2 linked regions of the Mus musculus genome follow. The protein of the gene in region 2 interacts with the protein of the main gene of each other region in a pairwise test. Links are inferred from orthologs where the notes say so. Each region holds a gene or a part of one and is shown on either strand. Other genes may lie near its edges.

Region 1 (4,391 bases), on a different chromosome or scaffold from region 2:
ATCTCTGTATCATGCTGGTTCATCAGCTCCAACAGCCGTAGCTCAATCTGTGCCTGGTTCAGGAAGGCCTTTTTGTTCTTGATGATCTTGATGGCCACCAGCTCCTGAGTCTGGTGATCATAGGCTTTCACCACCTGTCGAGACAAGGAGAGTTACCTGGGAAGGTGGGAGGCCCACCAGCCACACCTTTCTAACAACTCACAGCCCAGTGCTCACATCCCTTATACTGGATACAAAATAACAGTTTTCTTACAAGAAGCCTTGTGATTTATACTCATACAGAACTAAGAGGGAAACTAAGTGGCTTGACTGGCTGGTCCAGGACAGAACTTGCAGCAAGTGAACCAGTGAACCACTCGGGGAGGAGGGAATGTTGGGAATGTTAGTGGTTGTCTGCATCCAGATACTGGATGAGTGGGGAGTCCCACACCTGGCCAAAGGAGCCTTTGCCAATAAGAGAGTCAATCTCATAGCGCTCTAGCCAGCGCTCGCCACTGCGCACAATGTAGTCGTGGTTGTCGTCATCATAACCGTGGTTCAGGACCTTCTTCTCCTTTTTGGTGCTCGAGTCCTGGGGTGGCGCCTGTTGGGCCCGCCGCTTCTTCTTCGCATAGTATACCTGCTCAGGCAGCCAGGAAACCGGACCCTTAAGTGACCCGGGCAAGAAGCCAGGACCCTTTGCAACACCCAACCAGGGAAGTCCATTCCCCGCTTTACCTCATTGATGTGCTTGTAGGTCTTGATGAGGTCCACCGAGAGCTTGCGCAGCGGGGCTGAGGCCGCATCCCGGAAGGCCAGGGGCAGTCTCCGGGGCAGGAGCCGCACATCAGGTAGTACCTGTGGTAGAGCGGAGCAGATGCTGAGCACAAGCCTTCACCTCAACTTCCAGGGAGAGAATGGGAAAGCTGACGACTCACTGACCATGCCTACATTTCTCTAGCTCCGATCCCACCTGTAGAGCACAAGCACACTGTGTGGGCTCCCCATTCATCTGTTCATTATGTGAAATGAGTGATTTACCTCTGGCCTTCCATTCTGCCCCAGGTCAGCTCTTTTGCTCCATATCTGGGTGTTTACCCCTGAATCTTTGCACCTGAGACCACCATTATGGGGAACCATGCCAATGAATTCCCTGTATCCATGTCCTCACTCTCAAGTGAGTGTTTCTGCCCAGTTACAAAGCTCCTGGACTGGGTTAGTCTCCCTGGTCTCAGCTTATTCTCATTTCCACCCCCCTCGACATCTCTCTCATGCCCCTTACTCCAGACCTCGTTCTTGTTGTGAACCTTCAGACCTGTGTTCCTGTCTGCTCTGTGCCAGTGACAGTTCTGACCCAAGACACACATTACACTTCAAAACCATGCTGTGAGAGGGCAGGCCACGGAGAAGCTCAAGGATTCCGTCCTCAGCAGGAATGAGGGTGGACTGTGAGGCCTCCAAAGTCCCCAGAGATCCTCCAACAATCATGCTCTTGTCTGGAGACCCTTCAATCCTCAGGCAGGTGAGAAGCCAGCTGAATGCCTACCTGTGTGTGTTCCTGGGGCCCCGGAAAGCCAGAGAAAGGACCATGGCCTGGTGGGACGGCCATGGTGGGCTCAGAGGGCCGCAGGGGCGTGAGGCCTGGAGCGGGAGCCCGGCCGGGGGGCGCCTTCTCGCATCCTGCACCTCGGCTGCCACCGCCGCTGAGACCTGAGAGCAGGTAGGAAGTGGGAAGACAACATGGAACAAGAAGGCATGTAGGTCAGGGTCAGTCAGAAGAGGTGGGTATGAGTTAGGGGCAGGACCAGGGGGAGACAGGGGACAGGGCAGAGCACCAGCACCAGGTAGCCATGTACAAACAGAAAGGGTAGCAAGTGGGTTAGCACAGCGTGTCTCTCAACAAATGAGGAGCCAAAAAAAATGAATGAAGCATCACATCCAGAGATGTAAAAGGGAGCCATCAGAGCCAGACAGGGGTGGGAGAGGGTGGGTACAAGGCCAGGGCAGGAGGGATAGAAAGAGGCCAGGAATTAGGAGAGCAAAAGAAGGCAGAAACCGTGTAGAGTCTGGGCAGTAGAACTCAGTCCTTCAAAATTTTACTGGTGGCCAGCCTGAGTCCCTCAGATAAGGCCCCGCCCTCACACCGTCTTCCCTCAACACCAAGGGCCCAATTTCAAGCCCAGTCTACCCACTAGTTTCTTTCTATTCTAAAGAACATAGCAGTCCTTATGGACCTCCCAGCAAACCCAAGGTTATCTGAGAACTCCTTTACATGCAAGCTATAGATGTTTCAACCACCTCGGCACTTTCCCCTGGGACCGACTCCATACTCCAAGACCGCTCCCTGCTCCCTATATGAGGTCTCTGGAACCAGAGATCCTTCTTTTAAGCAGTCTATATTTATCCCACTAGGATTCCCCCATTACTCCAAGACCCCTACTCCTCAGGAAAACAAGGGAGAGGTGTCATTTTTCAACATCTAAGAGTCACGGTCTTTTTCTTCTTTACCCTGAGGTCCTTGCTAGCTCCTCTATTTCTACGCTGGGTCATTCCACAATTGAGCCTATTCCTAGAAGGGCCTGACAGCCAAATCCCTAAATATCGCACAAGACTTCACTCACTAAAAGTGTCCTTCGGAACAAAATCCCCTTCTTAGGAGCCTCCCCCTTGTCAGATCCCCTTCTATGCTATGTCTTGCCACTCCAGGTCCCCTTTATTGGGGCTTCACAGATAAACAACCTCTTCCCGAGCCCTCCCACACTAGGACCAGCTCTTACAGCTCCCACCCCTACCCGGGTCAGGGATGGCGCTGGGCCCACGGGGGGCTGGAGCGCGATGGGGACCCCAGTGCGGTGGGCGAGCGGCCAGCATGGCGGCGGTGGTGGTGGCGGCGGCGATGAGGAGGTGGCCGCCTGTCCCCGGCCCGGCTAGCCTAGCCAGCCCCGCGGCGGTGAGGGCAAGCGGGACAGGCGGCCCGGTGGGTGACAACAGCAGCCGCCGCCACTGCCACCGAGGGGGAGGGGCGGGGAAAGGAGGGGACGAGGGTCAGACCAGGGCACGCGGGGGAAGGGGACAGCAGGTGGACGGGGGAGGGGCGGGTTAACCCTCGCCCTACGGCCCAGCCCCGCCCCGCGTGGCCACCCGCCCCCAGGGACCCTGGCGTCCCGCCCCCCACCCGGCAGGCCCGCCCCGGCCAGTGGAGTCCCGGCGGGCGGGGCCCAAGAGAGCCCGGCAGGCCGCACCTCCCATGGCAACAACCGCGCCATTGGTTGTTGCTGCCAAGAGCTTAACCAATTAGCACTCAGGGCAGCTGTTGCTAGGCGACAGCGAAGCGGCCAGCGCAGCCGAGCCCAAACAAAGGGCGGGAGTGGGGCCTGGCTGCCCCCTCCCCGACTCCCTCTCAGGACGGCTCCCTCGGGCTCAGCCTCTTCCAGGAATCCAGCTATGAAGAGCCGGACTCCGCTGCAACGGCCCAAAGCCCCCTCCTTTCCCTTGCTAAATCTCGCGGGGACGGGCAGGGCGGTTCCCGGCCTGCCCCCCACCCAAGCGTGCCGCCCCGCCCGTCGCAGCACCCTTACCTGAGGGCGTGGGTAAGGGGATTCAAACTGCTCGGGGAGCCCGAGCTCAGACCTGCCCACTGGCTGAGGGTGTCCGGTGGACGCGGCGAGCCAGGGCCCCGATTACCCAGTAATGCAACCAGCAAAATGGCGACCACAACAAACCGGCCCCCCTGCCCCGGCTCCGCCCCCACATCATTCACGTGACCTAGCGGAGCACAGTGCGCCTGCGCCTTAAGGGTGCTGAGCCGCGCACGTGCGGAGCAGCCACCAATGGAGCATGCACCATGTGACCGGATGAAACTTTCCAGGCACCACCCCCCGAAGCACACAAAGTTGATCAAGGGCGCATGCGTCTCGAGGCCACTTAGCAATAGGCACCAGACAGGGGAGACAGATGAGTCTTTTAATAGAAAAACAAAACAACTCCCCCGCCCCCAAAAAATCACAAGCCACACGTGCAACAGTAACAACACACATCTCTTCAATCCAGACAGCTCTGAGTTTCAGTTCTTCACCTTGGGAGGTGGCCTGTGAGGAAATCAGAGGGGGTCGAGTTGTAACCACTTTTGGCTTCTCAGGGCCACAGGTAAGGGAGAGGTCTGTTGTGACACTCACCTGTACACACCGACAACCACGGCGTGGTCTCGCTCATAAGGCTCTAGCGTCAGCTGCTCCTGCGGCTTCATGTTCTCCTGCTGCATCTTCTTCACTTCAGATGCAAACACAGCCTCTGCTGACGCAGTGGAGTCAATGCAGTTGGCCTAGAAAGGAGTCAGGACTAAGTTACAGATTTGGAGACCCAGGCTTTCCCAATTTTCTAACTTCATTAAAGAAGTTTTAATTTGGCTCACA
Region 2 (3,277 bases):
TGTCATAGACCTCCTCTCTCCCCCACCCCCCGCGCACCCCCAATTCCCATCCAGTATATCTGTCCTTACCAAGGACTTACACTGCTGTCCACCTGTCCTTACCAAGGACTTACACTGCTTCATCCATCTGTCCTTCCTCCCTTCCTCCCTAGTCCTGGCCCCTACTGGTTCCCTCCTTTGCTTTCTCCTACCTGCTGAACTTTAGGTAGCGATCGGAGGGGTGTGAATTGGGCTTTCCGTCGAATGGCAAAGCGTTTCATGGATGAATATGTGCTCTGAGGAGAGAGGTGGTTGGCTGAGCAGGGCTTCCAGCCAAACTCTTCTCATCCTGCCCAGCCCAAGGGTTGTTGATAGAAATCACAGCTGAGAGGCCTGGGGAGCGAACACCCTGAGACTGTCTATAAACAGCTGACTGTTCGGTGATGGAAGGTGGTACTATACAACTGGGCTGCAGGAATGGGGGAGGGAGGGCAGCAGATGGGAGCCATCACCGTCCAGTGGAGGCCCCCAAAGCTACCTTCCTGTTCTCCCCACTGCAGCAGCTACTCTTTGGGGGCTCACGTAGGGAAGAGGCTAGGAGTACAGGCACACTGCCACGATGTGCGGCGCTTGAGTGGTTTATTCAAGTGAGAAACCAACTCTCTCTCCCTATTCATGCATCTCCCCCTGACTCTTGTTCAGCCCAAGAAAGAGCAGAGAACTTAAACTTGTTTGTAGCTCTTTACCAAGGACTTATAGTGCTTTGTCCATCTGTCCTCACCAAGGACTTACAAGTGCTCTGTTCGTCTGTCCTTACCAAGAACTTACACTGGTTTGTCTGTCCTTACCTCATCTCTCACCTGTCGTCACTGCAAACTCATCTCAGACCCTCTTCTCGTCTAGGCTTCAACCTCTCTGGTCTGTTTTGCCAACTCACAAAGACTAGATGTCTCCTCTCCTCGGGGCTTCTGCATCTGCAGCCCTCCCCATCTTGTCTGAGTCACAGCCTCAACTCTGGTCTCATAGGCAATCCTTATCTTCCCAATGACAGTGCCTTAGCCATACTACATTTTGTAAAAAGACTGCTTAGCATGCCCTTTGTAAACATTAAACAATTTTTTTCCCGAATTTATGTATGTGTTGGATGCCCATGTGAGCCAGAAGAGGGCATCAGATGTCTTGAGAGGGAATTACAGGCAGGCAGGTTTTTTTTTTTCTCCCAAGACAGGGTTTCTTTGTATAGCCTTGACTGTCCTGGAACTCACTCTGTAGACCAGGCTGGCCTTGAACTCAGAAATTTGCCTGCCTCTGCCTCTCAAGTGCTGGGATTAAAGGTGTGCGCCACCATGCCTGGCTGGCAGGCAGTTATAAGTTCTGGCAGGCAGTTATAAGTTGACCAATGGGAGTTAAGTTGCCAGCCCTACTCATCCATTCCCCTACACACACACACACACACACACACACACACACACACACACACACACACACACACACCTTCTATTTTTAAACACAGGGTTTTGCTACATAGCCGAGGCTGTCCTGGAATTCACGATGGCTCAGCCCCAGGCAATTCTCCTGCCTCCTCTGGGTTACAGTCATGTTCCACCAAGCGTGGCTCTAAACTACCAATTTATGACACCAATCCTTCTCCCACGTCCTTTCAGTACCTTATACATTTAGTTTTAGAAAGAACATGTCACCATGTGACATCCTATATATTTCATTTTACATTTGTGGGGTGGGGTTTATTTTGTCTTTTATTATTTTGCCCCCCTTTCTAGAATATACACACACACACACACACACACACACACATATGTATATATATACACACACACACACACATACACACATATATATATATACACACACACACATACATACACATACACACACACACACACACACACACACACACACACACACACACATATATTTTTTCTGGAACTAGAACCATGGCTGAATCCAAAAGCCAGTTAGCAAATGCCAGTGGAATGAAGGAATTAATGCTTGGTTGGTAAGTGTTGGCCATGTTTAAGCCACTGTACTGATTTGATAGTGACACACATAACAGTCTGTCATCTCTCACCCTGGGTCCCAGATACCCAACAAAGGAAGTCAGATCTACCCTGAAGAGGGCTTGGTCCCAACTCCAGCAAAAGACCAAATACCCTGAGTCCCGGGTCTGCCAATTCTACCCACAACCCTCAGTGTGCCTCCTGAACACCCCTTCCCCATCCTGGGAGGGTCTCGGCTCACCCTGGTGTTTGTCAGACTTTCTTTTAATGGTATCCGTTGAGCCAGACCCAGATGATGTCTTCCCCCTCCGTCGTCGGAGTGAGGGACAGCCTCCTGCTCGCCTCGGAGGGGTAAGGAAGCTGGGAGGAGACAGGACATTCATTTCCTGTAGTATCTACAACACCAAAGTCTACCCGTTCAGCATCCCCCGAGAGCACAATAATACCTTGGCAAACACTTATCAATCCCAATGCCCTGGGTGGGCTGGTGGCCATGGCTCACAAGGGACTGGGACAGAGAACACAGTAGACATTGTCTTGCAGGAAGTGGCAGGGAGAGGGCAGAAACAGAGATACACGCACAACTAGGCTGACCTCTGACCTTCCCGGGAGGTCTTGTCTGCTGTGTGTGTGTGTGTGTGTGTGTGTGTGTGTGTGTGTGTGTTTTTGGGATGTGAATGCTGGAGGAGCACGCCACCACTGAGCCAGACCTCCCTCCAACCTCTCCCTTACTTCACCCCACTCCCTGAGGCCTGCTGACCCTTGCCTTCCTGGTGCAGGCACTCACCCTTCCTTTGTTCCCACATCCACACAAACTCACCAGGCTGAACCGGGGTCTTCAGGAGCAGTCTTGAGGCTTGGCTTGCTGAGGTCCTTCTGTCAGTACAGTCCCCGTCCCTGAGTGCCAAGCAAGGGCTGGGCATTAGCTAAGGGCTTTGCAAACACCAGCGCAGTAGCCTCTAACAGTACCAGTGTTAACCTCACTTGGCCGATGGGGATGCAGAAGCCAAGACGCAGGCAGGTTAAGGTGAGCTTGCACAGCTAGTAGTGGTAAGGGTCAGGAATTGAACTCAAAAGCCATCTATTGTCAGTTTACGCTGTAGCCAAATGACGCAGCGCTCCCCATGTCCTCCATGTCATAGATAAGGCTCAGCTGTCAAAGTCTGAACCCTCGGCCCTGCCCAGTGACTTTTTCCCGTCTGGGGTCGAAAGGGAATCTACACTCTCCTTACCTGCCGCCGCCACATGTCTCTCTTCTTAGCTCCTGTAAGCTGGGTCGA

The links.
Region 1: the proteins of Troap (region 2) and Dyrk1b interact in binary tests that used the Homo sapiens proteins (3 or more experiments, as listed by UniProt). The link is inferred for Mus musculus from reciprocal best matches to the Homo sapiens genes TROAP and DYRK1B.

The regions. Positions count from the first base shown.
Region 1 is NC_000073.6:28,178,807-28,183,197, reverse strand, and holds the start of Dyrk1b (dual specificity tyrosine-phosphorylation-regulated kinase 1B), read right to left. Parts: upstream 2,883-4,391; 5' UTR 2,851-2,882; coding exon 2,772-2,850; intron 1,690-2,771; coding exon 1,526-1,689; intron 838-1,525; coding exon 718-837; intron 620-717; coding exon 431-619; intron 135-430; coding exon 1-134. Other genes in the region: Fbl (rRNA 2'-O-methyltransferase fibrillarin), read right to left, coding at 4,043-4,067, 4,155-4,300.
Region 2 is NC_000081.6:99,077,864-99,081,140, reverse strand, and holds part of Troap (tastin), read right to left. Parts: coding exon 3,230-3,277; intron 2,895-3,229; coding exon 2,818-2,894; intron 2,506-2,817; exon of another isoform or gene 2,493-2,505; coding exon of another isoform or gene 2,444-2,492; intron 2,358-2,443; coding exon 2,239-2,357; intron 337-2,238; exon of another isoform or gene 276-336; coding exon 192-275; intron 1-191. UniProt on the Homo sapiens protein: Could be involved with bystin and trophinin in a cell adhesion molecule complex that mediates an initial attachment of the blastocyst to uterine epithelial cells at the time of the embryo implantation.